4 linked regions of the Lonchura striata genome follow. The protein of the gene in region 4 purifies or fractionates together with the protein of the main gene of each other region. This does not show direct contact. Links are inferred from orthologs where the notes say so. Each region holds a gene or a part of one and is shown on either strand. Other genes may lie near its edges. The genes, in order: ANAPC2, ANAPC7, CDC27 and ANAPC13.

Region 1 (7,575 bases), on a different chromosome or scaffold from region 4:
TTTAGCTTTAGATGTTATTTCTGCACCAATCAGTGAGAAGTGTCCAGACTGTCTCAAGCCTCTTGAAGATTCCCAAACATTGGCCATAGCTTTCGTCTGTCCTTCCCAACTCTGGCATCCAGTCTCTGGGAGTTGCTGGTTGTGCTCCAGTTTGCCAGTTCCTCTTGTTGCTTTGTTCCAAATCTGATTGATCTCTCTTGGTTACATCCTTCAAGCCACACTTGCTCTGCTCCTCTAGTCAAAGCACAGGAGGGACGTTTCACTCCTTCTGCAGAACTTGAACAAGGAATGTGGGTTATTTTTGTTTTTTCTAGGATTTTTATAGTTCTATTGTAATTGTTTAATGCAGCCAATATGCAAAGGAATCTGCTAGAATCTTCCATTCAAGTTTTCTACTACTGTAAACTCAGGGTCAAAATTGCACTCTGGAACAGATGGAGCAGTGCTGCTAATGTGATTTGTACTCTGGGATTAAAAGAGATGTGGTGAGAACAGATCTGGCCTCTTTGGGCTTTATGGAATGAGTGGGGCGTCATCCAAACGAACAGGCTGGTATCTTTGATTAAATTTGATGGTTACTGGTTTGTCTATTTTGGATGATGAATGTCTGCTCAAGTGACATTGCTCTGTGGACTGAAAATGATCTGCATACCTTGCACTTGGTTTGGTGTCTTGTTGTAGCAGCAAGGGAAGGTTGTTCTACTGAAAACCACAGGATTAAATGTTAGGACATACCTATTTGTAGCCGTTCCCTTCTGCCCTGGGTGCCTAAATACTTTTGGAAAGATAAGGAGAAAAAAAAAAAAAAAAAAAAAAAAAAAGAGCTACTCAGTAGTTTTAGATGTTGGCTGGGGGGCCACAAAGAAGCGTTTTGCACCTCCTTGTCCATTCCAAGCTAATCTGAGATCATCTGCTGGTGTGACTTGCCGGGAGCAAGATGTGTCTGCAGTGCATCTGCCTGGGACTTGACACAAGGACCATGGAGTTCCATGTGTTGAGGCTTCTCCTGTTAATAAAATCAGGGCAAGGTGCTGAGACTGGTGTAGAATGAGGGAAAATGTGAGACTGCTGCTGACAGCTAGATTTAAGGGGTGAGTTTTCAGCACAGCTTTTCTAGCAAAAATGGTCCTAGTGAGCATCTTCCCCTGTTGAAAAGCCCAGCTCACTTTAAGGCAGCTCTATTTCTTGCAAAACTGCAGGTGGTAAAGCAAAGCTGCTTTCAACTCAAGTTAGGGACAAGGAATCTGAACTAGCCCTGGCTTAGTTCTCCTATGGATCCATGAGGAATGCTAAAGAATGCTAAAGCCAACACTGTCCTGCAGCTCAAACACTGCTCTGGTTCTCTGTGAGTTAATGCTGTGCCTGCAGCCCTGTGGGCAGGGCAGCTCTCGGGGGTGTGGGAGTGCAGAGCGTGCTGCTGACTCTCTGCTCCTTCTCCTGGTGATCCTGCTCCACCTTGGAGCTAATTCAGCACTCTGCACTTCCCAGCCTCCTGCTCTAATCCCTGCCCAGGTACTCCAGGGCAAAGCAGAGTGAGGGCAGTCCTGAGGGCAGGAGCATCAGCTGATGGGTCACCGCCTGGGATGTGCCTCAGGATCGCTGTGCTCCAAATGAAGCACAGGTATTTGTGTGTAAATGCCTACCCTGACATGTAGTGTTGGAGGATCTGCTTTACTGGGTCTCTGACTAATACCAAAGCACATCTGAAAGGAAAATTTGCTTCTGCAAAGCACAGGCTTTTATTAAATGTGGCATCCTTGCACCACAAAGCAGCTCTCTCTGGCCAACAGGACATTCCAGGCTGAAGAAGAAGTTTAGGAACGCTTTTGTCGACGTATTTGTTGTCCTAATGAAGTGTTTTGTGGATCAATGGCTTTACCAAGATCCCCCATTTCCTTCTTCATGACATCTAGCAATGTCTGAGAATTGTCCAGTATCTGGGAAAGAAATAAAAATAGCTTATTTTTACATAAACTGTTTCTCTTATGAATTCCCTTCCAATTCAGCTGATCTGCCTTGCAGCAAGAGGGGCTATCCAGTCTTTCAGCCTCTAATTCCTGGTGATTTGTTATTCTGTCTCAGTGTGGAAATATTTGTGCGAGAATTTCTCTGGTTTGTGTTCATATTCTGAATATGAAAGGCCTTAAGCAATTTATCTGCTTTGGAGCACAAGGCAGAGAACTTCCTGAAGCGGACTGGGGGGTTTTTGTTTGGTTTGGCATTTTTTGGTTGGTTGGGTGGATTTTTTTAAGGGAGATTTGGTATCTGGGCTTTTTAGACCAGTATTAAATTGTGCTCAGGTGACCCAGTTTCAACTCTTTTCCACTATTAAAACTGCACATTTTGGGTTTCCAACTTTAAGACTAACTGAAATCTACAGTGACCTTATGTCAGACTAGATCTGTTATTCATTTTCTCCTATTTTTAGCACACAGTGTACATAATGTAACATCCCTACTTCCTATGCTCTAGACTACAGCATATTTAGGAGATCTTGCTGCCTGTCCACCTCACCAGTTAAAAATTTTAACACAGTGGACAATTGTAACCAAATGTGATGGTTACAGTCCCAAAAATAATTTATATTCCTGTGAGATTGTGGAATTCACCAAGGGATCTGAGAGGAGCTGAGGGAGTGCCCCACAGGATGAGGTCCTGGAAGAAGGTGAAATCCTGTGGGGGCTGGCAGAAGGCAAGGAGTGACAAACCAGGAGAGGAACTGTGTTAATTTCTGTGTGTACAACACCAGCATCTCCTCCTCACCACCTCTTTCTACCTCCTGTGAGTGTCAGTTCATTTCAATAAACAGGAATTCATCTGTAGGCTGGGGGTGTGACTTGGATCTCAGGTAAGGTTTCTTTTTAAAGGGGCTGTTTGTGTACTTACAACATAGTTTTTAAGCTTTTAAATTTTTATGAGAGTTTCCCCTTTCACTTCAAACCATCAGGTCTTGAAGGACTTGAGGAATTGCCAGGGGAAAGCACCGACTTCGGGAGAGGAAAAGGAGCTGACAGTAGTTGGTCACATTCAAAATGCAAATGGAAGGAGAATCTAGGCAGCAGCTAATAAAGGAAATAGTGTTTCTGACACCAACTCTGCCTGGTCACCAAGAGAAGGAAGATGGTAACTTATCTGAAAAGAGGCCGGGAAAATCCTTTTTTAAAGAAATAAAAGCTGTTGGTGTGTAATACAGAAGTGGCTTCAGCTGTGGCCCTGTCTGTGGGGATCAAGTGCTGCCTGACAGTAACACACACAGGGAAGGGGAATGAGTAGAGCTGTCTCAGGAACAAAAATGACAGTGCCAGCCCTCGTGCTGTTTGCCTCCTTCCCACCCTTTACTACCCCAACAATTTGACTCTTTTAATGACATTGTTCCATTAAAAATGAAAGAAACTATACTAAATATTGGGCTGGAAGAGTGGCAAGCCAACAACTCCATCAGCACCGTTGTTCTCTGAATAGTAGGATTGTGGGTCAGTGTAATTTCACTGGTTTCCTCCTTTCCCCCAAACCATGGGTCTGAGATGGTAATTTTTAGGGGTCTGTTCCAAAAGAGATTTTTGATGTATTTGGACAATAAACTTTGCCCAAGCCCAAGCAGCACTAAAACACAACCCAACCCTCTTGTGATGGGATCTGTATGCTGGAGCTGCATCCCAGGCCTGGGAAGTTGTTTTGGCTGCAGTGCTACGACCCAGGGAGGAGTGGTGGTTCATCGAGGTGCTCCCAACCGACCTTCAGGTAAATACAGCAGGAGTTCACACTTACGTACATACATACAGATGTGTATATGCCAAACCTCCCAGACACACCCTTAGGGAAAGGTTCTTCCCCCAGAGGTGCTGGCACTGCCCAGGCTGCCCAGGGAATGGGCACGGCCCCAAGGCTGCCAGAGCTCCAGGAGCCTTTAGCCAGGGATGCCCAGGGTGGGATTTTGGGGGTCTGGGAAGGGACAGGGGTGGGCTGGGTGATCCTTGTCCACCTCAGGTTATTCTGACTCAGTGATTCCCTCGGGTCCTGTCCCTGGTCACCGACAGCAGAGATCGCTGCCGTCCCTCCTCCTCCTCTCCCGAGGCAGCTGCTCGGGGCGATGTCCCCCCCGTTCCTGCAGCCTCAAGAACGCGCCGAGCGCCCTCGGCGCTGCTCGCTGTCAGTACCTCCCCGGAGGCTATGTCCATCTCGGCGATGGTGCGGTCGATGTGGGCTCGTGTGGACCGCAGCCCCGCCAGGCTCTCGCTGGTGTCGGACAAGCGCCGGGTGAGCGTCGCGATCCGCGCCTGCAGCCGGCCCCGCTCCACCTCCTCGGCCCGGATCCGCCCGCTCAGCTCGTCCCGCCGGGCGCGCAGCTCCGACAGCCCTGCGGGGCGGCACGGTCAGCCGGGCCCGCCACCCCGGCCGGCCCCGGCCCCGGCCCCGGCCCCGGCCCCGGCCCCGGCCCCGGCCCCGGCCCCGGCCCCGGCCCCGGCCCCGGCCCCGGCCCCGGCCCCGGCCCCGGCCCGCTCACCCTCCCGCAGCGCCGCGTGGTGCCCCCGCAGCGCGGCCCCGGCGCCGCTCATCGTGGCGGCCGGCGCCGCTCCGCCCCTTCCTGCGGCCCGAATGGAGCTCTCGGCCGCCTGGCACACGCTCAGCACGGCGCTGGTGCCGCCCGCCGCGCTGGGGCTGGTGAGCGGGGACCGCGCGGGGGTCGCGGCGCTCCGCCGGGCCCGGGCAGCCCCGAGCCGCCGAGCCCGGGATGCTCCGGCCTCGGCTCCTCCCCGGCCGGGCCTCTGCGGCTCTGCGTCCGCGGGGCGGCTGGGAGCGGCCGGGGCTGAGGGGAAACGGCCGGCGCTGAGGGAGGAACGGTCGGAGCTGCTGGGGGGAAACGGCCGGGGCTGAGGGAGGAGGAACGGCCGGGGCTGAGGGAGGAACGGTCGGAGCTGCTGGGGGGAACGGCCGGGGCTGAGGGAGGAACGGCCGGGGCTGAGGGAGGAACGGCCGGAGCTGAGGGACGAACGGCCGGGGCAGGGAGGGGAACGGGCTCCTGGGTGTGGGGGTGGTGTCTGCTGGGGGCTGCCAGCGAAGGGCCCCGGCCCCATCTCTCTCCCTGTCACCCCAAACAGGAGCGGGACCAAAAGGCCACAGCTTGCCCGGCCCTGCTGTGGCTCTGCTCCCGCTCCATCGGAGGGAGCTGGCGGCCAAGGAAGGGTTTTGCTCCAGAGCCCCCAGCATTTTGGGCAGCCAAGGGTGGCTCGCAGCATTTCCACCAGCACCTGTGTCCTGCAGCAGCTACCCGCAGGGACAGCAATGATGTGTGCGGGTGTGAGCACTGGGAGGGGATGCTGGCATCCAGCGGTGCTGAGACCCCGGCAGATCACCACAGAGGAGCAGCATCCCCCCAGTGCAGTTTGACAGCAGAGTCCCTGTGTGCTCCATCAAATGCTTAGTTCATTTTCCCTCCATTTTCCAGGCAACCCCAAGACCTGAAGCTGCAGGGCCGCTGCAGGATGCCGAGCTCCGGGCAGCCCTGGACGTGCTGCAGTGCTATGACTTGCACTCCATCGTGGAGGAGTGGTTCATCGAGGTGCTGCAGACTGACCTGCAGGCGAATATCGGCCCCGAGTTCTGGAATTGCATTGGCCAGTATGAGAACACGGCCGAGGAACCCCAGTGCGCTGCGCTGCTCCTGGACGCCTTCAGTCTGCTCAAGTGCCACCTGGAGCCCTACCTGAACAGCCTGGAGCTCCTGGAGCAGTGGACCAAGGCAGGCCTGCTCCTGGGCACAGGCGCTCAGACGCTGCAGGAGAAGGTCTACACCATGTTCAAAGCTATCCTCTTCTTCTCCACAACCAAATCCTTCCAGGACATGATCCAGCAATTCTACAGCCGCACATTCAGGATATACATGCAGCAGTGGAAGAAAGGAGAAGATGGAATGAATGAGTGTGAGAGCAGCATGAGTGAGACCGAGCAGGAGAGTGACCCAGAGGAGGGCGGAGAGGGCCAGCTCTGTGCAGGCTGCAGCAGCAAGAGGGAGCAGTGCTGGTGCCCTGAAGCCATGGAGAAGTTCCAGCAGCTCAATGACATTCTGTAGGTATCTCATGGGGTGGTGGCTGTCACTCGGAGCAAGGGGTGTTTGGATGGGGAGCAGTAGCAGGTTTTATTGGTCCCTGAGAACAGGAGGAGCTGTGTGAGGTCAGGCTGTCTCGTGGTGGCAGGTAGAGAACTCGACATGGACTTTCTGCTTTCAACTGGTGGTTGAAGAGCAGATCTTTAGACAGAAAATTCCTCTCCCTGGATATGAGAATATCCTCCTCTTGCTCTGAGGCCTCTGACCACAAAGAAGCAAACCAGTGGAAGGTATCCCTGCCCATGTCAGGGGTTTGGACTAGGTAATCTTTAAGATCTCTTCCACCCCAAACCATTCTCTGATTCTATGAAACTCTTCTAAATGAAAAAGCTTTTGATGGCTTTATATAATGTCTGTAAAGAAGATGGGATAGCAGTAGTGCCATGTGTTACTTGTTTGCTCCAGAGCCCAGCATTTTGGGCATATGTGTGTTACATATGTAGTGCATCTGTGTGGGCTGTCAGAGCATGTGGCCCAAGCTGGGCCTGCCTCTGTGGAATGTACAGGGAGGGTGGTGCCTTCAGGTATAAGATTTTCTTGATTTGCTGTTGCCTTTGCTCCTACACGCTCCTGACGGTGTCCCTGTGCCCACAGCCGCCGGCTGAATTTGCTGGAGAGGGTGAGTGCTGATGCTGTCACCACCATCCTGCACAGGATGATCGAGGAGAGGATGGAGCAGCGCTGCCGCGGGGAGTACGAGCACTCCTTCCTCAACGAGTTCCAGGAGGTAAGGCAGGTGTGGGGGCAGTGAGAGTCCTCCTTGGGAGATCACAGAATTCACAGAATCACTGGCTTGGAAGAGACCTTCAAGATCATCGAGTCCAACCCAGCCCCAACACCTCAACTAAACCCTGGCACCCAGTGCCACATTCAGGCTTGTTTTAAATGCACCCAGGGATGGTGACTCCACCACCTCCCCAGGCAGCATTCCAGAACTTTATCACCCTTTCTGTGAAAAACTTTCTAATATCCAACCTAAATTTCCCTTGGCACAGCTTGAGACTCTGTGCTCTGGTTCTGTCAGTGCTGCCTGGAGAAAGAGACCAACCCCCACCTGGCTACAGCCACCGTTCAGGAAGTTGTAGAGAGTGATAAGGATGTGCAGGTGTTGTTGCTCAGGCTAAAACCACATTCCAACTTAAAACACCTGATCCAGGGCTATGACTTCACCATGCCTAGCAGAAGAGGTGGCTAAAACTTTTCATTTTGGCTGATGTTGGAGTGGAAGGTTTGTTCTGACCTGTGCATGAAGGACTATGACATTTCACCTCATGATCTCTGCAATAATGAAGGAATTTTTGTGGTTCCAGTTTACAAACCACAAGATCAACAAGTGTCACCTGGCCTGCAGAGGGTCTTCCCTCTGTGTAAGTGAGGCCAAAATTAGAATTTCTGTGGCTGTTTTCAGTCCTCTTTCATATTCCCTTGTAAAATTAGAAGCAAGGATGAGAGAGGATACTCTGGTATTG
Region 2 (7,403 bases), on a different chromosome or scaffold from region 4:
AAGCTTAAATATTACAGTCTGAACTCATGGTGTTTCAGAAGTTTTCTGTTACGTGGTGCTGACTTCTGCTTTTTGTAAATACCATGGTTTTGTTCTTGCAGTAATCCTTATTTATATATTTCAATGAGTAAAAGTTATGACAAATGTAGTGTAACAGAGCACTCCTTAACTCTATCTCTTCTTTATAGCTAAGGACACAGATATTATAGATGAAGCCATCTACTACTTCAAAGCTAATGTTTTCTTCAAAAATTATGAAATTAAGGTAATTTTTTGAGATACTGAGTATATTCTAGTTCTTTGGAGGGTTGGTTCTGTGAATATAAATTTATTTTCAAGGAAGTAATTTTAAGAAGATCACAAAAACTCCCCTTCCACTTAATCTTTAAAGTTGGGTAAATGTCATGAATTGCAAATCTCTCTCTCATGGGGAAACTATAGCCCAAAATGGCTTGAATTAATTCCTGTTTCAGACTTTATCAGTTCCACAAAGTGCTGTCATCTAAGAGTTCCTGCTCTTGTTTTGCAGAATGAAGCTGACAGAACACTGATCTATGTGACCCTCTACATTTCTGAGTGCCTGAAAAAGCTGCAAAAGGTAAGAAAACTGAATTCCTGTGCAGGTGGGAAACAGTCTGTTCTGAGAATTGTTCTAAGGAAAGGATTTCCTGATATTCTCCTTCCAGGGGAACAGATAATCCTGTTCACCCCAGTCCCAGTTGTCAGAGCCTCCAATACCTCAAGGCTGTGGATGTGCTGTGTTGCTCTTGATGAGTATTCATATTCCAGATTTGTAAAATATTTGGGTCTAATGCTGTGTCAGTTTTTGTTCATAACTGCTAACCCATTGTTTGCCTGGTTCTTCCAGTGCAACTCCAAAGGCCAGGGAGAGAAGGAAATGTACACACTAGGAATCACTAACTTCCCAATCCCAGGGGAGCCTGGCTTTCCACTGAACGCCATTTATGCCAAACCTGCCAACAAGCAGGAGGAAGGTAAGGCTGACCCAGGGCCTCTGAGGGTCACACTTGATTAACTGCACTTTTATGACTGCAGTTAGTTACTTTAAACCTAAATCTTCTAAATCTGCAGTCTGTCTTCTGAAGGCAGCACAAGCTGGATTTTCTGACCTTGAGGATTCCCCTGGTTCTATAGATAAATCGAGCTAATCAACTCAGCCAGCTGGGAGTGCCTGCAGATGTGAAACTCCCTCTCTGCTTTAAGCAGCGATGTCTGATGTGTCCCTGTTAAATCCAGTTTGGGTTGGTGCTGCCCAGTTTAGCTTGGTTTTGCTGTGCTGCTTTCAGAGGTGATGAGGGCCTACCTGCAGCAGCTGAGGCAAGAAACCGGCCTTCGCCTTTGTGACAAAGTGTTTGATCCTCAGAGCGACAAGCCAAGCAAGGTGAGACCTCAGTGGCATCAGCACGGAGTTAGTGAGAGCTTGGGGGAGTTTGTTCAGCTACGTGAGAAGTGAGACAAGGGGGTGAGAAACTTCAGCCAAGCCTGTCTGATTCTGCAGTGAAATGGCAGCTGCAAGTTATCAATAAGTTTAATCTAATGTGATATGACAGTGAATGCCACTTTGGGTTGCTTTCAAAAGCAGGGCAGTAATAAGAGGTGTCTGGTTCAGCTCTTCAAAGCACTGCACATCTGCTCGTGGCTGGGGTTGCAAATGGAGTTCACAAGCAGGAGAGGTGCTGTGTCTCTTCCCTGCAGCTCTGATGTGAGAGCTGCTTTGAAGTCGATTGTTTTGCCTCATGTCCAGATTGAAAAAATCGCTAATCAATGAATGAGTCACCTCCTGAGTGTTCACATGTTTCATGTGCAAATGTGACTGCATTTAGTGTCAAAATCACTTAGGCAAATTTACTTTCAAAGGCATAGCTTCCTGATGCATCCCTCATTTATGATAAAATACAATAAAAGTAAAATAAGACAAAGTAGAATTTCCCATAAGTCCTGTAATATGAACTCATTGTGTCCATTCCTGTTGTCTTGTTCACCTCAATTTAAGTAGAAACCAGTGTGTAAAACTATGTGTAAAATATTTGTTTTGTGTCAGAGATTGAATACTTCAGTCATTGGAAACCACTTCTGATTTTCTGACTCTGTACTTCCTTCTGCAGTGGTGGATCTGCTTTGTGAAGAGGCAGTTCATGAACAAGAGTCTCTCAGGCCCTGGGCAGTGAAGCAAAGTGGCAACAACTTTAAGCATTTCCACAGCAAGATGTTTTGTCTTTTGCCTTTGTTTTGGATACATAAAAAAAAAAAAAAAAAAAAAAAAGAAAAAACCAAACCTGTCAATGAGTGATAGAGGGAGAACAAAAAGATAAGTTGTGTAAGCAAATATTATTAAGCTGGTGCTTAATAAGTGATTTCTAACGTGCTGTTTCAGATGCAAGGTGCTTTGTAGTCGTGGCTACAGCATTTAAAACAGGGCTTGTATTTAAGAGAAGAAGTGGGCTTGGCTGTGGGGCAGGGGAGCTGTGTCATTGCTCTGCTGGCTGGAGTCTGGGTGTCGTGTGTCCAGGGAAAACAGACCTCTCACGCTGTGTTGTCCAGTGCAGTGATTTTTACCTTGTTTTCAATAAAATTTGCTTGTAATGAACGTGGTAACTACTGTGTGTCTTATGGACAGCCTTCAAAGAAATCAAAGAGGTTTTCTTCTCCTTGGTGAAAGGCTTTGGGGTGACCTAATTGTGGCCTTCCAGGACATGAAGGGAGCCAACACGAGCCTGGAGTGCCAGGACAAGGGAGAGTGGCTTTGAACTGGCAGAGAGCAGGATTAGATTGGATTCTGGAAAAAAAATCTTCCCTGTGAGGGTGGGGAGGCCCTGGCACAGGGTGCCCAGAGAAGCTGTGGCTGCCCCATCCCTGGAAGTGTTTAAGGACAGGTTGGATGGGGGTTGGAGCAACTTGGGATAGTGGAAGTTGTCCCTGCCCATGGGTGGAATGATTTTTAAGGTCTCTTCCAACCATCCTGTGATTCCATGATTACTGTGTAACATTAATCAGTAGGAAGTGAATCATTCTCACTGAAAACTGGGATAAGTGCCAGGCCTGCAGTTTGTAGCCATTTACCTGTTTGTTTAGCAGTCTGTCTCCTCAGAGCTGTGCTCCCAAAATGCCTTTACAGGGTAACACAGATCCCACACAGCTGGGTCTGTGGCTGCCTTCTGATGGTGCATTCAAACACTCACAAACTGGTAAAAAGTGGCTGTCCTGGGGATTTCTGGAAGAATACAAATCCACTTTTAGTTTATGTAGGTTTTGTCTCTCAATGGCAGGATGCGTGTCACAGTCACCACACAGCACTAACACACTTTTAGTGTTACCTGAAGCCCAGTGCTGATGTTTTGCTGCCTGCTGGATTTGTCTGCTGAGAGCTGCGTTCCTCTCCCAATAGCAGTGATGGCATGTGCAAACTGAAAGTTCTCACTGATTCCATTTTTAGGAATAGTGTAGCCCATGTTTTAAAATGTTTCTGTAACAAAGGTGGGAAAATAAAGTTTATTATTCATCTCTCAGTCTATCCTTGTAGTTAACAGAAGGCCTAGTGAGGCATTTCCCAGAAGAAATACAGGTTTTGAAAGGTTTTTCTCCAACAATCAGCATATTGGCAGAAGGACAAGGGTTGGACTCAGGAGCTGTGGAGGCACGGACAGTGTGTGTCTGGTGAAATGAACAGGGCTTATGCCTTTATTAATGTTCAGCTCTTTATTAAAAAGATCAGCTGGGCAGGGGGCTCGACACGGAGCTCACCCCCGTTGTTGTAGCTTTTTCCAGGTAGGCGAAGGGGGAGAAGGCGTGCAGAGTCTGTCCCTGAAGTCTCTGTGGCACACTGGTAGCTGAAGGGTGAAGAGGTGTGCAGTCTGTGGCTGAAGTCCTCATCAGCAGACTGTCCTTTCCTCCTGGTAACACCACAAAAATCTTGCCTCTTTATTCCTGCTTCCCACAGCCCACTCCAGTCCAGTCTTATGTAGGTGATAGTGACAGGTCAAACGTCGATCAGGGATGTGGTTCCCTCTTCCTCAGCCAGCGAACCGTACCTGCCCAGCCCCCTCTACTGTGTTTAGGTTTCCATCGAGGGTGTCCTTATCCCCGAAAACACGCTCCCATGGTTCCCAGGTTTCCGTCTTAGAACGGCAGCATGGGTGGGGTAGAGAAAACAAACAGAGCAATTACCTAACTTCCATTTCCATATGAGTACCTAGCTGGTGCCCCAGTATTGCCACGGGAAGCAGGAAGGCTCTTTCGCTCCTCACACCTGGCGGCAGAGCGGCTCCCCTCACGCCCGGCCCGCCGCCGCCAGGGCCCCTCGGCGCGGGCTGCCCTCCGCGCGCCTGCCGGGCCGCGCGGGCAGCGCCTCGGCCGCCTGCGGGCGGCGGCGCGCGAGGACCCCTGCGAGGCGCCATTTTGGAGCGGCGGCGGCGCCGGGGCCGGTTCCTCGCTCGGGCTCTCTCCCGGTTCCTCGCTCGGGGTCTCTCCCGGTTCCTCCCTCGCCCCGTCCTGTCCCCTCCGCCCCGCCGGCGGCAGCATGAGTGTGGTGGAGCACGTGCGCGAGATGGCGGCCGCCGGGCTGCACTCCAACGTGCGGCTGCTCAGCGGGCTGCTCCTCACCATGAGCGGCAATAACCCGTGAGTGCCCCGCCGGCAGCGGGCGTGAGGGGCGTGAGGGAGCGGGGCCGCTCCTGGGCGGGCCCTGTCCTGTCCCTGTCCCTGCCGGGGATGGAGCCCGCCTCTGTTCGGGTATCGGCATCACCGCCCCTTTGTGGTGCCCACTACAGCGTGGGTATCATGGCAGAGAATCACAGAATCAGCAAAGAAGGAACCTTGAAGATTGTTTTGTTTCAGCCCTCCTGCCTTAGGCATGGACATCTTTCATTATCCCAGGTTGCTCCAAGCCCTGTCCAGCCTGGCCTTGGACACTTCCAAGGGGTGCCACAGCGTCTCTGGACGACTTTTGCCAGGGCCTTCCCACTCTCACAAGGAATAATTTTTACTGATACCCAATCTAAAGCTGCCCTCTGTCAGTGTGAAGCCATTCCCCCTTGTCCTGGCACTCCAGGTCCTTATAAATTGTCTCTCCATGGTTTTTGTTGGCTCCCTTCAGGTCCTGGAAGGCCACAGTTGGGTCATTTGTTCTGCACACAGAACAATATTATATTAGGGGTTTTTATAATGTAGGAACAGGGACTAGGACCACAACTGCTGTACAGGCTGGGTTGCCTTTTAAACCTGAGTCCAAACAAAACACTGTTCTTTTAAACTTGAGTTCAAACAAAAGCCTGTTCTAAAATCTGAATGGGCAAAATGCTGGATCCTTACCTAATAAAAAGTGAATGAATCCTAGGAGAAAGTTGGTGCAGTGTAATGGATATTTACAGCCCCATGCTTGTTACAGAAAGGATGAGGGCTGTGCCCAAGCAGCCAAACATTGAGCTGCTGTTGCTGATGAGGTGTCAGGAGTGGCTGTTGGGTTTGTTTGTTTACAGATAAAAGAAATTGGTGAGATAAGCCCTGTGTGAGGAGTCAAAGCTGTTACTCAGTGGTCCTTCAGTGCAGTGGAGGAGCTGCAGCAGTTGCAATGGAAGCCACACAAACCAAAGCTACAAATACTTTGGATCTGTAAGGTTTGGATTCCTTTGCAGCCATCTGATCTCAGCCTCTCTGTGTGTATTTCTTGCAGGGAGCTGTTCTCTCCCTCTCAGAAGTACCAGCTCCTTGTCTACCACGCAGATTCCCTCTTCCATGACAAGGAGTACAGGAATGCTGTCAGCAAGTACACCATGGCCTTACAGCAGAAAAAAGCCTTAAGTAAAACCTCCAAAGTCAGGCCTTCTACTGGGAATGCTGCATCCACACCCCAAAGCCAGGTATTTAAGAATTGATAATAATTATTAATTGATAATGTGCTGCATCAAGCGATCACGTTCCCCCTGCCATTTCATGTTGCTGACTCAATTTTCACTGGAAGAGATCCTTGAGGCTGAATCCTCTGCCAAGTGCATCACTAACCACATCCCTGAGCATCACCTTTACATGTCTTTTAACCACCTTAGATTGTTCATTTATCAAATAAACCTGACATTTAAGGCTAATTAGTGGGATAATATCTGTGGTGCTTTCTAATGCAAAACTTAAAATGATCTCCAGCATTAAATTTTTCTGTATGTGTACTTTGTACTTTTAATTTGAATACAAGAATAATATGAACTAGTAGTGAGTTGCAGTGTTAACTTACATGCACCAGTTATTTTTCAACACAGTATAAATATTTATGAGGAAACCTTATGAAATTTTTCATACCTGATTGAACCAACATCATATTTAAATATTTTATTTTTTGTTTCAGTGTTTACCATCAGAAATTGAAGTGAAATACAAAATGGCTGAATGTTACACAATGCTGAAGCAAGATAAAGATGCCATTGCTATTCTTGATGGGATTCCTTCCAGGCAGAGAACTCCAAAGGTAAATCTGGCAGGTTTTTGTCACAGCCTCGTGGTCAGTGTATATAGGGTAGAACATATTATGTAGATTTAATGGCATTATGTCTTCTTCATTAGTTAAATATTGCTTGGTATCATTTCCTAATCTTAAATTAGCTGATATGGACCCTTTTCTTTAAAATAATAACAATTTTGTATTTTCTCTGCTAGAAGGAATTTAAAAAAAAAAAAAAAAAAAAAAAAGAAGGAAATAAATGTTTTGTGCATTTTATTAACTTCTTGTATAGTTGGGGCAATGCCAAATCCTTGAAAGGCTGGAGACTTTGGCAAGTAGAAAGTTTGCTAGTGCTCCATCTTTTAAAATCTTTTAATCCTGTTCAACAACAGTTTAGATAATGTTAAATATTTAGATCCCTTTGTGGTCTGCAGTGCCAAATCTGTGGAGTCTTTCCTCGCTGGCTCTGTTACTCAGAAGGGCTTAAAAGATTAACACATCAGATCAGTCAGCTGTGTTTCATGTTAAATTGTCCTAAAAGTGTACATGGCTTAAACTCCAGTTAATGTCTGAGTGTTCTGACCAACTTGCAAAACAGAAAAAGAAGAAAAGATTGAGAAAAGCAAACTTTTTACTTGTATAGACCAGCAAATGAAAATGCTGCAGCAGAAACCAGCTACTTGTGTTGTGAGGAGCTCAGATAATTTCTGTTCTTTGGTCAATCATGGCTCCTTTCAGGAGCTGAATGGAAACTTTCTCTGACTTGCTAAGCTAATTCAAACACTTGTATGGACACAGAGGGACTCCTGGAAGGGACTGATTAATGGATATACAGATCCTTCTTGGCACCGTGTACTTGCCCATCTTTTGACTTCTTTGATGCAAAACACACATTTTAAGGTGCACAGTGCACATACAAAAGATGTAGATTTTATTTCTGTACTCAGAAAGAAGC
Region 3 (7,180 bases), on a different chromosome or scaffold from region 4:
GCAGCCACTGAAAATCAATATTTTTAAACATGCATCAGTGAATGCTAAGAAAATATTTAGTACTTAGAGAGGAAATTTCCGAAATGAGAAATATCAACATTCCCATTAATGTTACAAAGAATAAGGAAAATGTACCACAGATTTTCTTAAACTTTTTCACATTCCTAAAGATCTGCCTGAGGAAAACAGAGAAACATTGCCAAGGGGATCAGGTTAAGTTTCTTTGAGGTTGAATTATCCCTCTAAAATGTATTAAATTGAAAAGAAAATCCAAATTGCTGCCTGGCCCCAGCTTCCCCGCCAATTTCTTATTATTTCATTATCTATTTACTTTTCTAAACATTTCTCCTATCCCTCAGCTATGTAAAAGGCATGAGGCTGGGGGGGTGGGGCAGGGGGGGAAGTAAAAATGACCTCCAGATAGTGCTAAATACAGAAATTAAACATTTAAAAATCTCTTCCCTCACAAAATCTCTTTCAGCATCAGAAGGTTAAAATGCAGACAGACGGAAGTCTGAACTTTGAATGCTCAGCATCCTTTTTATCTCCTTTTTAATCCATTTCTTTCTGGTTCCTGTTCATCAGCTCAGCAACATAGATGGTTGGGTGGCAAAGTCTGACAGAAGATTTAATTCTTCATATAACTATTTGCATATAAAGCTCTTTTAAATGGTGTTGAATTACAGCTTTTGACATTTTGGGTTCATCTGAGAAAGAGTATTCTGAATGCTCTCATCCCAAAGATTCTTTGCATTCAGACCTCCCCACTTATCTCCCAGGCTCTCAGAAATGCTTGGACCCACCTGAGCACCATGAAGAGCAAGACTCCTCCATGCATGTCCTTTCCCTGGGATGTTTTGCCTAAAGCAAAACACACACCACGTGTGTGTACCTGAGCCTGGTACTCAGTGCATCTGCAACTAGGTTTTAAACCTCAAGTTACTCTTTTCAGGTTTTCTCTGTGACATTTGTCTCATTAAATTTTATTCCTTTCTCCCTTAAATGGTTTGTCTGCCTTGGCTTGGGGCTACTTGTTGATACGGTGGGTGGAGGAGACCCCTTGGTCTCCACCAGCTCTCAGAGGTAACAGGGTATTTCCACGGAGAGGGGGAAAAGGCAGGGAATGAAAAGGAAGAGTTCAGACTTGTAAGTGAGGATCATCAATGCACTGCTTGTCCCAGTCAGGAAAGACCCTTAAAACCCCCAAAACATCAGAAAAGCATGAAAAACATTCTTTGTTCTGTATCAATGAGACATCCAAAAGTCTAGTTTTGAAGGTTTTCAGCAAGTTGACTCCTGCTGAATCAGCAAGGGAGAAGAAAAATGGGGAAAGAAGAGATCCAGGCCCAGCCAAACTGGGCCAGGTCCACCCTCATGGCATGGGGTGAGGGCCCATGGGCTGTGGGTAATGTCCTGCCTGGGATGGGCTCCCTGGACAGTTCTTCTCCAGGCAGATGGTTCCAGCCAGGAGCTCTCAGGGGGCTGTGTGATACAAGCTGGTGGCTCTCTCCCTCTTCCTACCTGCAAAGCAATCTTCAGAGCATCACCACAAGCAGTGAATAATTCATGACACATAACTCAGCCTTCCCATCAGCAGAACACCTGGGAGCAGCAAACACTTTCCTTTGATTTGTTCCTTATTCCAATGTCCTCACTCTGTCTTTGACTAGAAATCGAAGGCATTTTGCTCTGACATGTTGACTTTGCTCGTTCCTGTGCAGTGGCTGAGTAACAGCTGCTTTCAATTCCCACTGTTTGATTCTACTGCTCATAAAAAGCAACACAAGCTGTTTATAGATGCAAGATTAGATTTGAGCAGCTCTTTGTGCTATTCCTACAGCTTCCATTGGGCAGGATCTGGGCACCTCATGTTTTTAATGCACTCTGTGCTTTAACCTCCTAGAGGACCGTGGTGATGGGGCCAGAAGGAAGCCTGCTTGCTGCACGCTCCAGGGTCACGTCTGTCCCTGTCACTGCTGTGGCACTGACTCCTGCAGCAGAACGTGCTGTGGTAGAGAGGAACTGAGCAGAGGAGAGGTGGAAATCCACAGCAGGGACTGGGGGCCCTGGAGCTGCGATATCCCTGCTATAGCAATGATATCCCTGCTGTAGCCACAATATTCAACCATATCCTACTAGCCTTGATATCCCTGCTAGGCGTGATATTCCCGCTACAGCTGTGATACCCCTGCCCTGCAAGCCAAGAGGCTGCACTCTCACTCCTCTGTGCAAACCTTGTGTTTGAGCCCCCAGCTTCCATGGTGAAAGCAGTAACACTGAATTAAAACCAAAGTGAGACCTGCAAAGAGACAGGAAGCAAGCAGTGGGAAATGACAGAACTACAGGAAAAGAGGGAAGAGCCAGCCACACTTTAGGGATCTGTTGTGTCTCTTTATAAAGCAGAGCTGGCTTAGCAAAGCAGGCTGGAATGATGCACTTGAACAGGCTCAGTGTGTACGTCTGTACCTCTGCTTGTGCCTCCATGCCTCTTCCCCTGGCAAGGCTGCTCCCCTCCTCTGGAAAAGCTGAGGATTCCACAGAGAAAGCAGCTTTAGTCCCATGGACATTTATAAAAGCATCTGTGGGTGCCAGCGAGTGACCCCACAGGCAGAACTGCACTGTAGGACTGAGGAGTCTCTGTAAATCCAAATCTCCAAAGACAACAGCAAATGCTGACCTTTTACAGTTTGGATGTTTTACATGAATTCCAGGGGACTCTGAGGAGAGGTACAAGGAGCCCCCACGCTCTGGAGAGCCTGTATCTCCTCAGGCTTGATAAGACAGCTTCTCATACCAAAGAAGGTCTGGATGTCAGTTCTGTGCCCTGGGGAATGGGAGAGACAGATGGAGCCAGCTTTCATCCCCAGGAGGAGTTATCTGTAGTGCATGAGATCAGGAGGAGGGTGAATATGGACTGTGCTCCTTGAAAAGCTCCTTCCTGGAGCCCCAGACCACGTCACACACCACCATCATCACCATCAGCAAGTGAGGCCAAAGGCCTTCAGAGGAGGAGACACTTCATGTTGCTGTCACCCTCCTTTTGTCTGGCAAAATGACTTGGATCGACCTGATTAGGAAACCAGGTGTCCATCCCAGGGGACAGCACTACCCTGCAGTTAAAATTTATTTGTCTCAGGTGAAGGATTGAAGAAAGCTTTGCCTGCTCACACCCTGAGCGCAAACACCCGCAGATCTGCTGCCAATACCAAATGTGTAAGTACACCTTCCAGAAGTGCAGGGGAAGAGGGCAGGCTGACCCCTCCTGCTCCACACACAGCTTTTGTTCTCAAATAAAGATACAGCCCCTGCCCACGCGTGTTCGGCAGCACATCAGGATCTGACCAAAGCCCTGAGCAGAGTCTGAGTTAGGTGTGTGTGCATCGGGGTTACGGCAAGCCCACAGCAGGATTTGGACAAGGAAGGCCTCTGCTAGCTGCAGGCAGCTATTGATAGGTCAGTATATTTAATAAATTGGGGTTTACTTGTACATCTTTATTCCATTATTTTGCTAAAGCTTTGTGTGTCAGATACTGTAACGGGCAAATTACCTGCTTTGTGGTCTGCCAGTTTTACTCCTGGATATGAGGACATCGGGAGGAATTTCTTCACAGAATGTTGTTAAACACTGGAAGGGGCTGCCCAGGGAGATGTCCAAGGAACGACGGGAGGGGCACTCAGTGCTCTGGCCTATGGCCAAGGCGGCTCGATGGTTTGGGAGGTGTTTCTCAACATGACCCTGCGATTTCTGATACCGCGGCTGGACGCACCGCGGAGCCCCTCAGCACGGAGCCCTCGGGGACAGAGCCGGGCCGCGCTGGACCCGACACGGGGAGCGGGGACACGGGAGCCGCTGGCCAAACCACGCGCACCCCGGGAGACGCAGGGGTTCGCGACAGAGCTGGGCATCCCCCGAGCCCACCCTGCGGCACCAAGTGCAAGTTCTGCGGGCCACGGGCGCTCCGGGGGACGCGCCACACGCTCGTCCCTCTCCGCTCGGCTCGGCCATCTCCGGCTCGGCTCGGCCATCTCCGCCCCACTTCGGCCATCTCCGCCCCACTTCGGCCATCTCCGGCTCGAGCAGTTTCCTCCCGGCTGCCGAGCGCGCCTTTCCCAGCTGTTTTCCGTCGACGCTCGGCTCTTTCCGCCTCCGCCTTCGGGTATTTCCGGCGGGCGGTTCGGCTATTTCCGCCGCCGGTTCGGGCGGACTCGGCGCCCGCCGGCCTCGCTCGCTCCGGTAACGGTCGGTGCGGGTTCAAATGAGCCGCGGTCGGGCCGGGCCCCGCCGTGACTCGCTCTGAGCCGGGCCGGCACCGGGGCCGCCCCGCTCGGGCTCGGCGACCAGGAGGCGGAGGCCGGGGAGAGCAGGATGACGGTGCTGCAGGAACCCGTCCAGGTACCGACCCCCGGGCGGCTCAGGCCCCAAAGCCTGGCCCGGCCCGGGTTAGGCCGCTCCGGGGCCGGGGCTCCGGGCCGCTCCCGGAGGCCCCTCGGCCGGTGGGCCCGCTGGAGCTGCAGCTCCTCCGCCCTCCTCCTGCCGGAGCCCGCCGAGCTTCCCCTTCCAGCCTCCCTGCCGTCCCCGGGCCGGCCGCGCTCGCCCCTTTGCCCCCGGGGCCCCGGGGGGAGGTGCCGGGGTCCCCGCCGCTCCTCCGCCGACCCGGCTCCGGGAAAGGGCCCCGCCGATCCCCCGGGAGACCTGTTGATACTTCGCTCACCTTTCTGCGTGTGCTGCCGTGTCGTGTTTAAATGCTCGCAGCGTGCTCGGATCCCTCTGTGTCGTGCGAGTGAAGGACGTTCCTTCTGCCCAAGGAGTTGGATTTTTCGGATTAATGGGAGATCTAGGAGAGAAAATAATGCAAATTTCATTTTTCTCTCGTGTTTCAGTCTCACTGCAGTTACTGTGATGGGTTTCCTGTTCTTGAGCTCAGCCTTCCCATCCAAAAGTCGTGATTCACGGAATTAAAAGCTGCTTTTTCTTTCTGCAGTTCCTGTATGCCCATTCTCTAACTATTAATAATCTTCATTAATCAGTCATCTCATTCACATTCCCATTCTTTTTAAGTCTATTTTTAGCATTTTAGCAGGATGTTTTGGGCTTTTTTTCTAGTTCCTGGCAGCAGTGTCTTGTTGGAGTATGACTGTGTTCTGTGATGAACATAGTGAGAATTCTTGCTTTTGGCTCTTTTCTTTCTAATGAAAAGGTGGAAGGGGAGGAAAGGCTCCTGTGGCAAACCATCCTGCTGACTTGGCCCTGTCTGTGGCGGATGGTGACAATGAGGGCATTCTTGTAGACCAGGGGTTTGTGTCCTTGATGCCACCGCTCTCCTCATCCCCTCTGAGAGCAAGGGTCGTGCAGTGCTGGAAATGCTTTTGGCCACCTGGTCCCTCTCCTGCCGAGGCCATCCTACATCACTGGTGTCAGCTGTCGAGCTGGGCTGGTGGTTTTGCACCAGCTGGGCATTCTAGGAAAACATGGGATTAGAACAGAAAAGGAAGCAAGATCACACTGCAGCGTGAACGAGTGAAGCTGACAGGAAACAATACCAAATGTTTCCAGTGCTGTGCTAACTAGACTGACCAAGTGAAAATGTCCGCTCTCCTGAGTGCTCCCTGATAGAAATGTGGGGCCTTGTGGTAATTCAGCAAGGTGAAGACCGCTCTAATGCTCTGTTCTGCATCATTATGCATCCAAAACGTTCTCCATTCTTAACCTCTTCCCAGCTTGGATGTTTTGATGAGGCTTTGCTATGTTAATATATCTATTTAGATTCTGCTTTTAAATGACAGATCATTCCTTTAGCAGTAGTTCTGCTGCTGTCAGTTTTACTGCTGTTCCTTGCTTACAGGAGTTACTGGTAAGTTTAGGAATTATTTGTGACTGTGTGAAGTCCGTTGCATTTCTGAATTCCCAGTTTAGCTGAAGTCCACATACGTAGCTCTGTTTTTGTAATATTCTTAAATGAAGTGATTGGGAAAGTTGACACTAGTTCTGATTTTTGTCATTGCAGAGATTGTTCCTGTCTATTTGTCTGTTCTCTCCCAGCCTTTCAGATGTCTACAGGGCTCAGCATTCCAGGAAAGAACTGTCATCCTCACATCCTCACAGCTGTGATGTTACTTATTTGTCACAGCGTGACAGATAAATAACAGAATTTGTGTTTGTATGTAGCCTTAGAAATGTTGTGCTTCAATTACATGAAATTCATGCACCAGGAGGCATTCTGGCCACTGGTTAGGTTTTTGCTAACTTTTAAAATTCTTTTCAGTTGAAGAGAGTGCCAGAGTTTACAGCCCTGTGCTGTACTTCCGGATACGGTCAATTTAAAACCCTTCAGCTCCAACATAAATCCATGTGTCCCATGTGCTAAGAAACAGGCTGGATGCCTTCCAAATACTTCTGAAAAACATCTTGGAAAGAAAATGAGCACTTTGCTTGGAATTGAGCTGTTCAAGGTGATCATCTGCTGTGACTCACTGGAATGGTGCTTGAACTTGGCTGCAAACTGCAGGACCAACATGTTCAGTGGGCAGAGTTTGTGTAACTGGGGAATGCAGCACAGCCCATCCTGGAGCTTTCCTCCTCCCTGCCCACCCCGAAGACTGAAATCGTGGCAGAATCTGCTTAGCGTGGCAATATAGGCTAAACAGCTTGGAAAACAATTTCCAAGGTTGTATAACTGTCAGACGAGAACATCTCTTAAGAGCTATTTGGCTTAGATATGAAGTGACACTTGGACAATGCACAGGATTTTCTGGGTAGAAGATGGACCTTTCTGAATCTGATTTTATTTTCCTGCCCCCCTTTCTGAAGTTGCCTTGCTGCAGGGCTGTGTATGGTAGTTTTGGAATTCCCTGTTAATTTTGCATTTCAAATTAATTATTTTTTAAAAGAGTGATTAAGACCTGGAGGTTCATCCTCTCTGCAAGCACACTTGAATAAAATGTGGAAACACTTCCAACTTTTCTCATTCATATGAGGCAGCCCTGAGAACACTGTTCTGTGTGGTTTAGCAGTTGTGTACCACTAGTGCTGTGTATATGCATTGTGCTTCTTCTAGAATAAAATAAATTACTGTGCTATATTGAGATTAATGTTCCTGTCCTAGACGGTGGGCAAGAAATCCTCTTTTTTGAGACACAGTCATGGTTTAGGTATCTGTTCTCATGAACAATTATTGCTGCA
Region 4 (7,505 bases):
CTGTAAAATGTTACTTTCTTATGGCAGGTTAGAAGTCCTTCCTGTCTGTATGCTGGAGTCAGGTGTAGCTGTGCTGGATCAACAGCAGAAGCCAGAACCCCCTGCCAGGTGTGCCCCAGAGCTGCTCACAGCACAGTAAAGGGAAGGAAAGTTTAACAGATTTCATTTTACTTCCTTCTATTATTTGTTCTCTGTCTTGCTGTATTGGTGTAGTCACACTGAGTGTGTGCTATTCTGCCAGATACCATTTGGGCAGGAATTCTGAGTTCTAGAATTTAGAGTTCTAGAATTTCCTCTGGAAATCCCAGCTGGAGCTAGATAAAGTGTTTCAGCTTTGAAAACAATGAATGATTTGAACACATCTGAGTTCCCAGAAATGGCTTGATTAAGCACTGGAGCAGATTCTCAGGACAGGCTCAAATACCACTTTCACAGCCATTCTGGTGCTCCTTTGCAATGTCCCTGAGTAAGTCCCCTGTGAATTCATGCTGTTTTCTCTATGTGATCAGAGCCAATCCCATCTCTGGGGATCTTTATATCCACAGCCAGGCCTTTCTATTGGTAGTTGGTGAGGCTTCCTTCTCTGAGGCTGTCATTGTATGTGACTGTAAGCCATCACGAGATGGCTCTAAGGGAAGAAACAATAATGTTTGGACTCAGGGTAAAGGCAATTGTCAACAAGGAACCTGTTTATGATACTCGGCTTGCCTAATAAAGGCAAAGGAGGGTTTGTGCTCTTTTAGCTGAGAATCACGCTTCTGCAAGATGCTTCCCTCAAGCCCAACTCTTGGCAGGAAAATGTGTGCTGTACATATGGACTTTGAGTTGTGCAGCTGCTCCTCGCCCTCTCTGAAAAGCCAGTGGTGGCAGGGCTGACGCTTGAACCATGCCACAAATTTGGAGATGTCTCTCTGCTGAAAGAAACCCCACAATCCCCACGGCTGCTTTATGTGAGCTAGCTGGGGTAAAGCTCGTGTACCAGAGAGAAAAAGGGAAAATCCTCAGCTACCTCTAACTTCCCTGTAAGTTTCAAAATAGCCAAGGAAAGGTGTCAGTGTGGGAGATCTGAAGCTTTAGCTCTGGGCTCTGTGGGATCAGCAGTAGCTTTTCCCCTGCTGCCCCTCTCTGACTTTGCAGCTGTACCCTGGATGAAAAGAGAGGTGCCATGCCTTGGACACATCACCACAGGCAAGAGTCCTGCTGCACCTGCCAGTCCTTCACTGCTGTCCCGGAACTTCCAACAGCAACACTGAATCTGGAAAAGACTGCTTTGAAACACTTACGAAAATGTCTCAGCTTCTTTTAATGGCATTGCAGGAAGCAGATATAAAGTGTAACCAAGACTGGAACTGTATGTGAGACTGATCCTCTGCTCTCCCAACAACCAGGAAAGTACCTCAAACACCAGGAACAAGAAAGGGAAGCAGAGAAAAAGGATGATTCTACTTCTCCCTGATGCCAAACCTAGGAGAGTGCAATGGGAAAGGAACTCCAGTTCTGAGAGGATTCAGCAACTGGTCAGGGGACAAGCAACAGAAGCATCCATGTCCTCATGCACTCAGGAATGACTGGCATATAGGGCACAGAAGGAGTCCCTTCCGTGAGAGACTGGATCTTCCGTGGAGATCCAGGAGCCTCTTGTACAAATTAGCCGCACCACGAGGAACATTCTGTGCCTTTTCTTGGAAGGGACTGTGATGAACGCAGCAGCCTTAACTCAGATTGATAAGTAGCAATTCACCTACCAGAGGGATGGCCACATCCTCGTAGGGCAATTTATCTTCCCTCCACGCATCATCGATCAGATCCAGGATCCTGCCATCCCTCTGCACCTCGCTGTCCATCGTCACAGCGGCGAGAGCAGCTAAATCTGTGACACAAAGCAGATGCTGTTTTAGCAACATCCCCAGCCAAGGAGCTGGAGTCTGGACTATTGGCTTGCTCCAGTTTTGATGAAATCCATATGAAATTTAAACTTACAAGGATACCTTGATTTCCCTAATCCACACAAAAAAGGGTTATAACCACATAGAACAACTTCATCTGAAAAGAACTCTATCAAAGTGAATTGCAGACTGATATGCACTGGAAATTAATATATAAAACCAGATGGTTATTACTGATATTTACATGTATTTTATATCTACTGACTGACTTTTAGAAGTCTAATTTGAGTGAGTTTGAGCACCTAGAGCTGCTCAGAAGCCTTTGCTGGCTGCTGGCTTACAGCTCCTGAGCAGTGACGTGCCTCACCTGTCTGGGAGAGTCACAACAAAGGACTTCAGGGTACCCAGAATTCTGCCCGAACCTGAAGTGCAGGAAACCGGTGAAAGAGAAGCAAAACGAGACCCATCTTTCACCCGCATCTCCTATAATTACTCCAGACTGTTTAACTGTACTCTGCCCTCCTTGAAGGATCACCTCAGGCCCTCGCCCCGGTGTGATGCTGCGGGGCGGCAGCAGCAGGCAGCCCGACCCTGGCGGGTGTGAGAGAACGGGCACTCGTTCAAAACCGAGCCAGGCCTGGCACTCGCCGGCTGCCGGAGCCGCGATGTGGGCGGCGATGGGCACGGGGCTGAGCGCACCCCAGCCCCGGCGCGCTGCGCTCCCTGCCTCTCCCGGCCAGCACGGCTCCGTGTTCCGCGGTGTCCCAGGGCTGTGTCCCAGGGCTGTGTCCCAGGGTTGGGTTGTGTCCCCGCGGTGTCCCAGGGCTGTGTCCCAGGGTTGTGTCCCAGGGTTGGGTTGTGTCCCCGCGGTGTCCCAGGGCTGTGTCCCAGGGTTGGGTTGTGTCCCAGGGCTGTGTCCCAGGGTTGGGTTGTGTCCCAGGGCTGTGTCCCAGGGTTGTGTCCCAGGGTTGGGTTGTGTCCCCGCGGTGTCCCAGGGCTGTGTCCCAGGGTTGGGTTGTGTCCCAGGGCTGTATCCCAGGGTTGTGCCCCCCTGTCCCCGCGCTCCCCAGCCCGCCCTACCCTGCCCATCTCCGCGGCCGCTGTTGCGCAGGCGCGGCCCCAGCGCATGCGCAGCGCTGCCGGGGCGGGGCCGGGCCGTGCCCGCTGCCAGGGTGGGAAAGGCGGGAAGGAGGGAGGGAGGAAGAAGGAACGGAAGAAGGAAGGGAGGAGGGCGGCTCGGCCAGCCAGCGCCGGGGTGTCGGGCAGCCCGCAGCGGAGCTCCCCGGGGCGCGGCGCCGGAGGGGCTCGGGCAGCGGAGCTGTGCCGCGGCGGGCGCGGGGCAGGCGCTGTGAGGGCTCGGCTGCGGCTGGGAGCAGCGGCGGGAGCGGGGAGTGCCGGCCGGGCCCGCTGGCCCCGGCCGCTGCACGGACCTAAGCGGCACCAGGGCCGGACATTAGGAGCAATTCCTTCACAGAACGGGTGATTAGATACTGGAAAGGGCTGCCCAGGGCGGCGGCGGCGGCGTCCCCATCCCTGGAGGTGTTTAAGGAAAAGACTGCACGCGGCACTCGGTGCTCTGGGCTGGGTGACAGAGTGGGGATCGGTCACAAGATTGGACTTGATGGTCTCAGAGGACTTTTCCGAGCTCAGTGACTCTGAGATTCTCGCCCTGGCGAGGGCTGGTTCACTTCGGGCTCCTGCCGCAGGTGCCGTTCCTGCCGCTGGCAAGCGGAGCTCGCCCGTGGTATTGCTTTTGGGAGCTCCTTTTGTGTTCATTGTAAGCATGCTTCCAGCAACGCTTTAAGATTGCATCTTTCTGTGTTTCTAAGTGCGAAGTAATCCCAGTCTTGTCGCATGGGCACTATTCTTAAGTCCTCCTGTGTATTGTAAAGTTCTCTCCACTTCACTCTGCTACAGTTCTGCCTTGAGCTGGAATGCTAAACCTTTTTTATTTTTAAATGTGTTGTCTTGTTTTGGACTTTTTTTTTTTTTTTTTCAAATACTTCACATTTCTTCACTTTCAGAGGTGATCAGCCAGCTTTCCTTCCTTCAACTGTAGTTAATGAAGGAGATTGTTTCCTCTTCTGGGTCTTTACTCAGGTTCCTGTAACTTGCACGTTGCAACTTGCAAGCATGAGAGGCCAAAATGTAATACTAAGTCAGCAAACTGTACGTAGCATAGAACTGGCTAGAGGTGTCTGATTTTAAGGCTTTTCCCCAAAATCTGGCTATGCCAACTGTGGCTGTGCCTCCCATGGGAGCGTCCAAGGCCAGGTTGGACAGGGCTTGGAGCAACCTGGGATAGTGAAAGGTGCCCCTGCCCATGGCAGCAGTTTAGCATGAGATGGCTTTAAGATCCCTTCCAACCCAAACTGTTCTGGAATTCTATGCTGTCTGTCTCCTCATCTCTCTGCCCACTGAAAATTGATTCTGTGTAGGTGTGATTAGAATGAAAGAGGAGAGCTGCTACTGTCTAATGTCTGCTGTGGCCACCTGGAGAGCTCTTGGAATGCTGTCAGCAGCTCAGGGGATCTGCTCATCTGCTCTCCTCAGCACCCTGCCCTCAGCAGAACCACAAAGTTGTTCTGCATACTGATTGAGTTTTGTTACAGCACCAAAGACAGATGAAACAGTGTCAGAATAGGAATAGGATTTTTCTCTGTGCATTTTTTATATGGCTGTGGTTTAAAACACTGCTCCCAAGGACAGGTTTTAATCTCTGAGTTGTGTTTTTAAGTGCTGTAGGAGCACGATAGAAGATTCTTTGGGAAAGAGAATGAAGCTGAGCCTGCATTTGTCAAAGTCTCCCTTGCTGTGACCTGTTCCCCTTTTGCTGATTGCTTAATAATGTTATATTAATCTTTGAGGAAAGATGGTGGAAGAATTAATCTTCAGTACTTGGAAAATGTGTAGATTTTGGAAACAGAAATTTGTGTTAATAGCTCTGGACAAGTTAACCATTTTTATGTTAGCTGCAGTTTCATGAAGGAGATATTGAAATAAATTCTGGCTTCCTGGCTCTGGTTGCGTGGAAAATTTTTATTCCCCATTTTTGGCTTTAATGTAAACTCTTCTCACTTTCACCACAATATGAAATTTCTTTGGGTATGCATGTGTTTGTTACTTAAAAGGTGAATTTTTAACTGAAGCAATGTACTGCTACTATAAAGCTGTTCAACTTATTTTCATAATTTAAGAGGAAATTTTAAGGAATTTATGTTTTCTTAAAATTCCCACAACTGTATGAAGAGCCAGTGTGTTCTGAATGCTGTGGTAAACTACATGGTCTCTTTAAGCTAGTCTATAATAGAGGCCTGGAAAATATGTAATTTATGGATGAATTCTTACTGCTACTTGCTGGTGTTTTCTCTCTGAAGTGACAAACTTTGAAATCCAAATGTTCCTGTTTCTCCACATGCTGGTGCTCCCAGTAGATCTACCAGTCCTTCTGTTGAGTTCACACAAGTGCAGAGTCTAATTGCTGCTCTCTGAATTTATTAGATCACATGATTATATCACTTCAATTTGGTAGTGTTGGATGATAGCATTGGGTATATTTTTCTGATAGAAAAATCTGTTTTCCTCTGTTTGGCTTGTAAGTTCATGAAGGTGCCATTGTTTTCCTCACCTGTAATTCCATATTCTTTGTATGCTTTTTGACTTCTGTGCTTTTTGGGCTTCCACTTTTCCTGCAGTTGGATGGAGAAGCAGCCTGGTTTGTGCATTACCATGGGTGACCACTGCTTTCCTGTACTTCCCTAGTACTGAAGCCACCAGGATTCAGTGATGGAGGCTTTGCTGGAAGGAATGCAAAGAAATGGGCAGGGGAGGTATGTATGCAACTGTACACAGCAGTCATTCCAAATGATTTAAGTGTTAACCTTGCCTCTTATTCAGAATAAATCCTCTGGTGTAAGTGTGCAGTGGCCCTCAGCTGCTGCAGAAGCGAAGTCACTGGGGGAGCTGGCTCTGTGCTAAACCCTGCTTATAGTCTTAATTGTCAGAAATTTAGTTGTACATCTTCCTGAAACCTCAGCCTCTTTTTCTCAGTTGTTGTTGTAAACTATTCTTACTGTCCAACATCAGGAGCAGTAGTAAATAGAGTTGTGAATAAATATTTATTTTGTAACAGCCTCGCAAGGTTAATGAGATGTGACTTTGTTATCTGATTTCACTGAAAACATCTGATTATTTCCTGCTTGTGTTGAAACTGCAGAGTCCCACTCAGCTCTGAGTGAATCCTTAATGTTGTGTCTGAGGTGAGAATCTCTAGACTTTTTGATCCCTGAGAGAGACTGTAGTGACAATAACAGAACAAAATGCTTTATGTGTTAAACAACCGTGAAACAAAAGTCACTGATGCCATTTTCCTAGTCATCCTTGAGAATGTGACACAAATTTATTTGATACTGTATCTTCTTTAGAGAGCTGGTTGCAGAAATCAAGTTTAGAATTTGCTACATATTAGCAGATGCTGTGAAGGGAATGTTCCTGCTCTGCATAATAGCTGCTAATTTTTGGTTAACTCATAGGACAGGGTGAACTTCAAATGTGACTGATTTTGGCTCCTTTAAGAAGTATTTCTTTTCCTATAGAAAAAGTGCCAAGTAATGAAGTGTGCATAGGCCCTGGGGGAACAGAGAAATTTCTATCCCTTAACCTATCGATTTCCATTTCTTTTCAGTTCTTCCCTTTGACAGGCAAATTAAAGGGGTAGAGATCATTATGGAATTCACCACCCTCTAGGGCTGTGTCTGGCAAACCTTAATATTGTCCCTGTCTTGGCAGCTGGGAACTTTTAGAGGAGTTACTTGAATTGGCTTCAATAATTATGCACCAAATTAGAAATCTGGGCATCGCTAGGGAGCTTGTGCTCCCCGATGGATTGCAAGGGTTTGATCCTTCATTATCATGTTGTCATCCAGGCCCCTCTGCTTCAGAGTTTGTCTGCATTTGTGATAAACTTCTGGTTTTGGGAGCTCATAGCTTGGCTGTGATTCCTCTGGTGACTGAAACCTGCTATAAAATGCCACTGCCTGGAGAGCAGTTAAGGCAATACAAAATATGAATTAAACACGCTTTGGTTTACTTACATAATGCACAGTACCCAAGGCAAAAGGCTGAATGCCTAAGTGTGAAGTGATGTGGTTTAGCACATGGGCATGGATGGTATTGGGTAAAAGGTTGGACTTGATGATCTTGGAGGTCTTTTCTGACCTTAATGATTCTGTGATTCTATTGTGTGCAAGCTGATTTAAAGAGAGGTCAAAGCACTCACTGTGTGTGCAGGGTTGGTGCCTTGTGCCAGTCAGTGTGTTTGCTGCCTTCATTGGTTTGGGACCCTGGACGTGGTGGGTGGCACTTGCTTTATTTAACTCCAGGCTCTCTCCCCTCCAGCGGTGGGTTCTTGACCTCCTGTGCGGCCGAGCTGCAGGAGCTGATGAAGCAGATAGACATCATGGTGGCTCACAAGAAATCTGAATGGGAAGGGCAGACACAGGCTTTGGAAGCTTGTCTGAGTGCTCGGGAGCAGGAACTTTCCTCTGCCAAGGCAGCTCTGCAGGAAAAACAAAAGGAGGTACCTTTGTTTCATACTATTTTTTGGTTGGAGTCAGCAGT

The links.
Region 1: the proteins of ANAPC13 (region 4) and ANAPC2 purify together in Homo sapiens (affinity purification with mass spectrometry; 3 studies listed by BioGRID and IntAct, counting the BioPlex papers as one, with this or other methods). This does not show direct contact. The link is inferred for Lonchura striata from reciprocal best matches to the Homo sapiens genes ANAPC13 and ANAPC2.
Region 2: the proteins of ANAPC13 (region 4) and ANAPC7 purify together in Homo sapiens (affinity purification with mass spectrometry; 3 studies listed by BioGRID and IntAct, counting the BioPlex papers as one, with this or other methods). This does not show direct contact. The link is inferred for Lonchura striata from reciprocal best matches to the Homo sapiens genes ANAPC13 and ANAPC7.
Region 3: the proteins of ANAPC13 (region 4) and CDC27 purify together in Homo sapiens (affinity purification with mass spectrometry; 5 studies listed by BioGRID and IntAct, counting the BioPlex papers as one, with this or other methods). This does not show direct contact. The link is inferred for Lonchura striata from reciprocal best matches to the Homo sapiens genes ANAPC13 and CDC27.

Annotation. Positions count from the first base shown.
Region 1 is NC_134624.1:4,365,085-4,372,659, reverse strand, and holds the start of ANAPC2 (anaphase-promoting complex subunit 2), read left to right. Parts: upstream 1-4,557; 5' UTR 4,558-4,596; coding exon 4,597-4,662; intron 4,663-5,446; coding exon 5,447-6,066; intron 6,067-6,700; coding exon 6,701-6,833; intron 6,834-7,575. Other genes in the region: uncharacterized protein LOC144247406, read right to left, coding at 1,815-1,937, 4,158-4,357, 4,505-4,556. UniProt on the Homo sapiens protein: Together with the RING-H2 protein ANAPC11, constitutes the catalytic component of the anaphase promoting complex/cyclosome (APC/C), a cell cycle-regulated E3 ubiquitin ligase that controls progression through mitosis and the G1 phase of the cell cycle.
Region 2 is NC_134620.1:12,732,430-12,739,832, reverse strand, and holds the start of ANAPC7 (anaphase-promoting complex subunit 7), read left to right. Parts: upstream 1-4,400; 5' UTR 4,401-4,537; coding exon 4,538-4,638; intron 4,639-5,689; coding exon 5,690-5,876; intron 5,877-6,355; coding exon 6,356-6,475; intron 6,476-7,403. Other genes in the region: ARPC3 (actin-related protein 2/3 complex subunit 3), read left to right, coding at 189-265, 530-598, 869-995, 1,308-1,402, 2,127-2,189. UniProt on the Homo sapiens protein: Component of the anaphase promoting complex/cyclosome (APC/C), a cell cycle-regulated E3 ubiquitin ligase that controls progression through mitosis and the G1 phase of the cell cycle.
Region 3 is NC_134627.1:8,879,622-8,886,801, reverse strand, and holds the start of CDC27 (cell division cycle protein 27 homolog), read left to right. Parts: upstream 1-4,167; 5' UTR 4,168-4,366; coding exon 4,367-4,393; intron 4,394-7,180. UniProt on the Homo sapiens protein: Component of the anaphase promoting complex/cyclosome (APC/C), a cell cycle-regulated E3 ubiquitin ligase that controls progression through mitosis and the G1 phase of the cell cycle.
Region 4 is NC_134612.1:6,432,248-6,439,752, reverse strand, and holds the start of ANAPC13 (anaphase-promoting complex subunit 13), read right to left. Parts: upstream 3,007-7,505; 5' UTR 2,967-3,006; intron 2,309-2,966; exon of another isoform or gene 2,254-2,308; intron 1,871-2,253; 5' UTR 1,845-1,870; coding exon 1,746-1,844; intron 1-1,745. Other genes in the region: CEP63 (centrosomal protein of 63 kDa), read left to right, coding at 5,673-5,716, 7,284-7,464. UniProt on the Homo sapiens protein: Component of the anaphase promoting complex/cyclosome (APC/C), a cell cycle-regulated E3 ubiquitin ligase that controls progression through mitosis and the G1 phase of the cell cycle.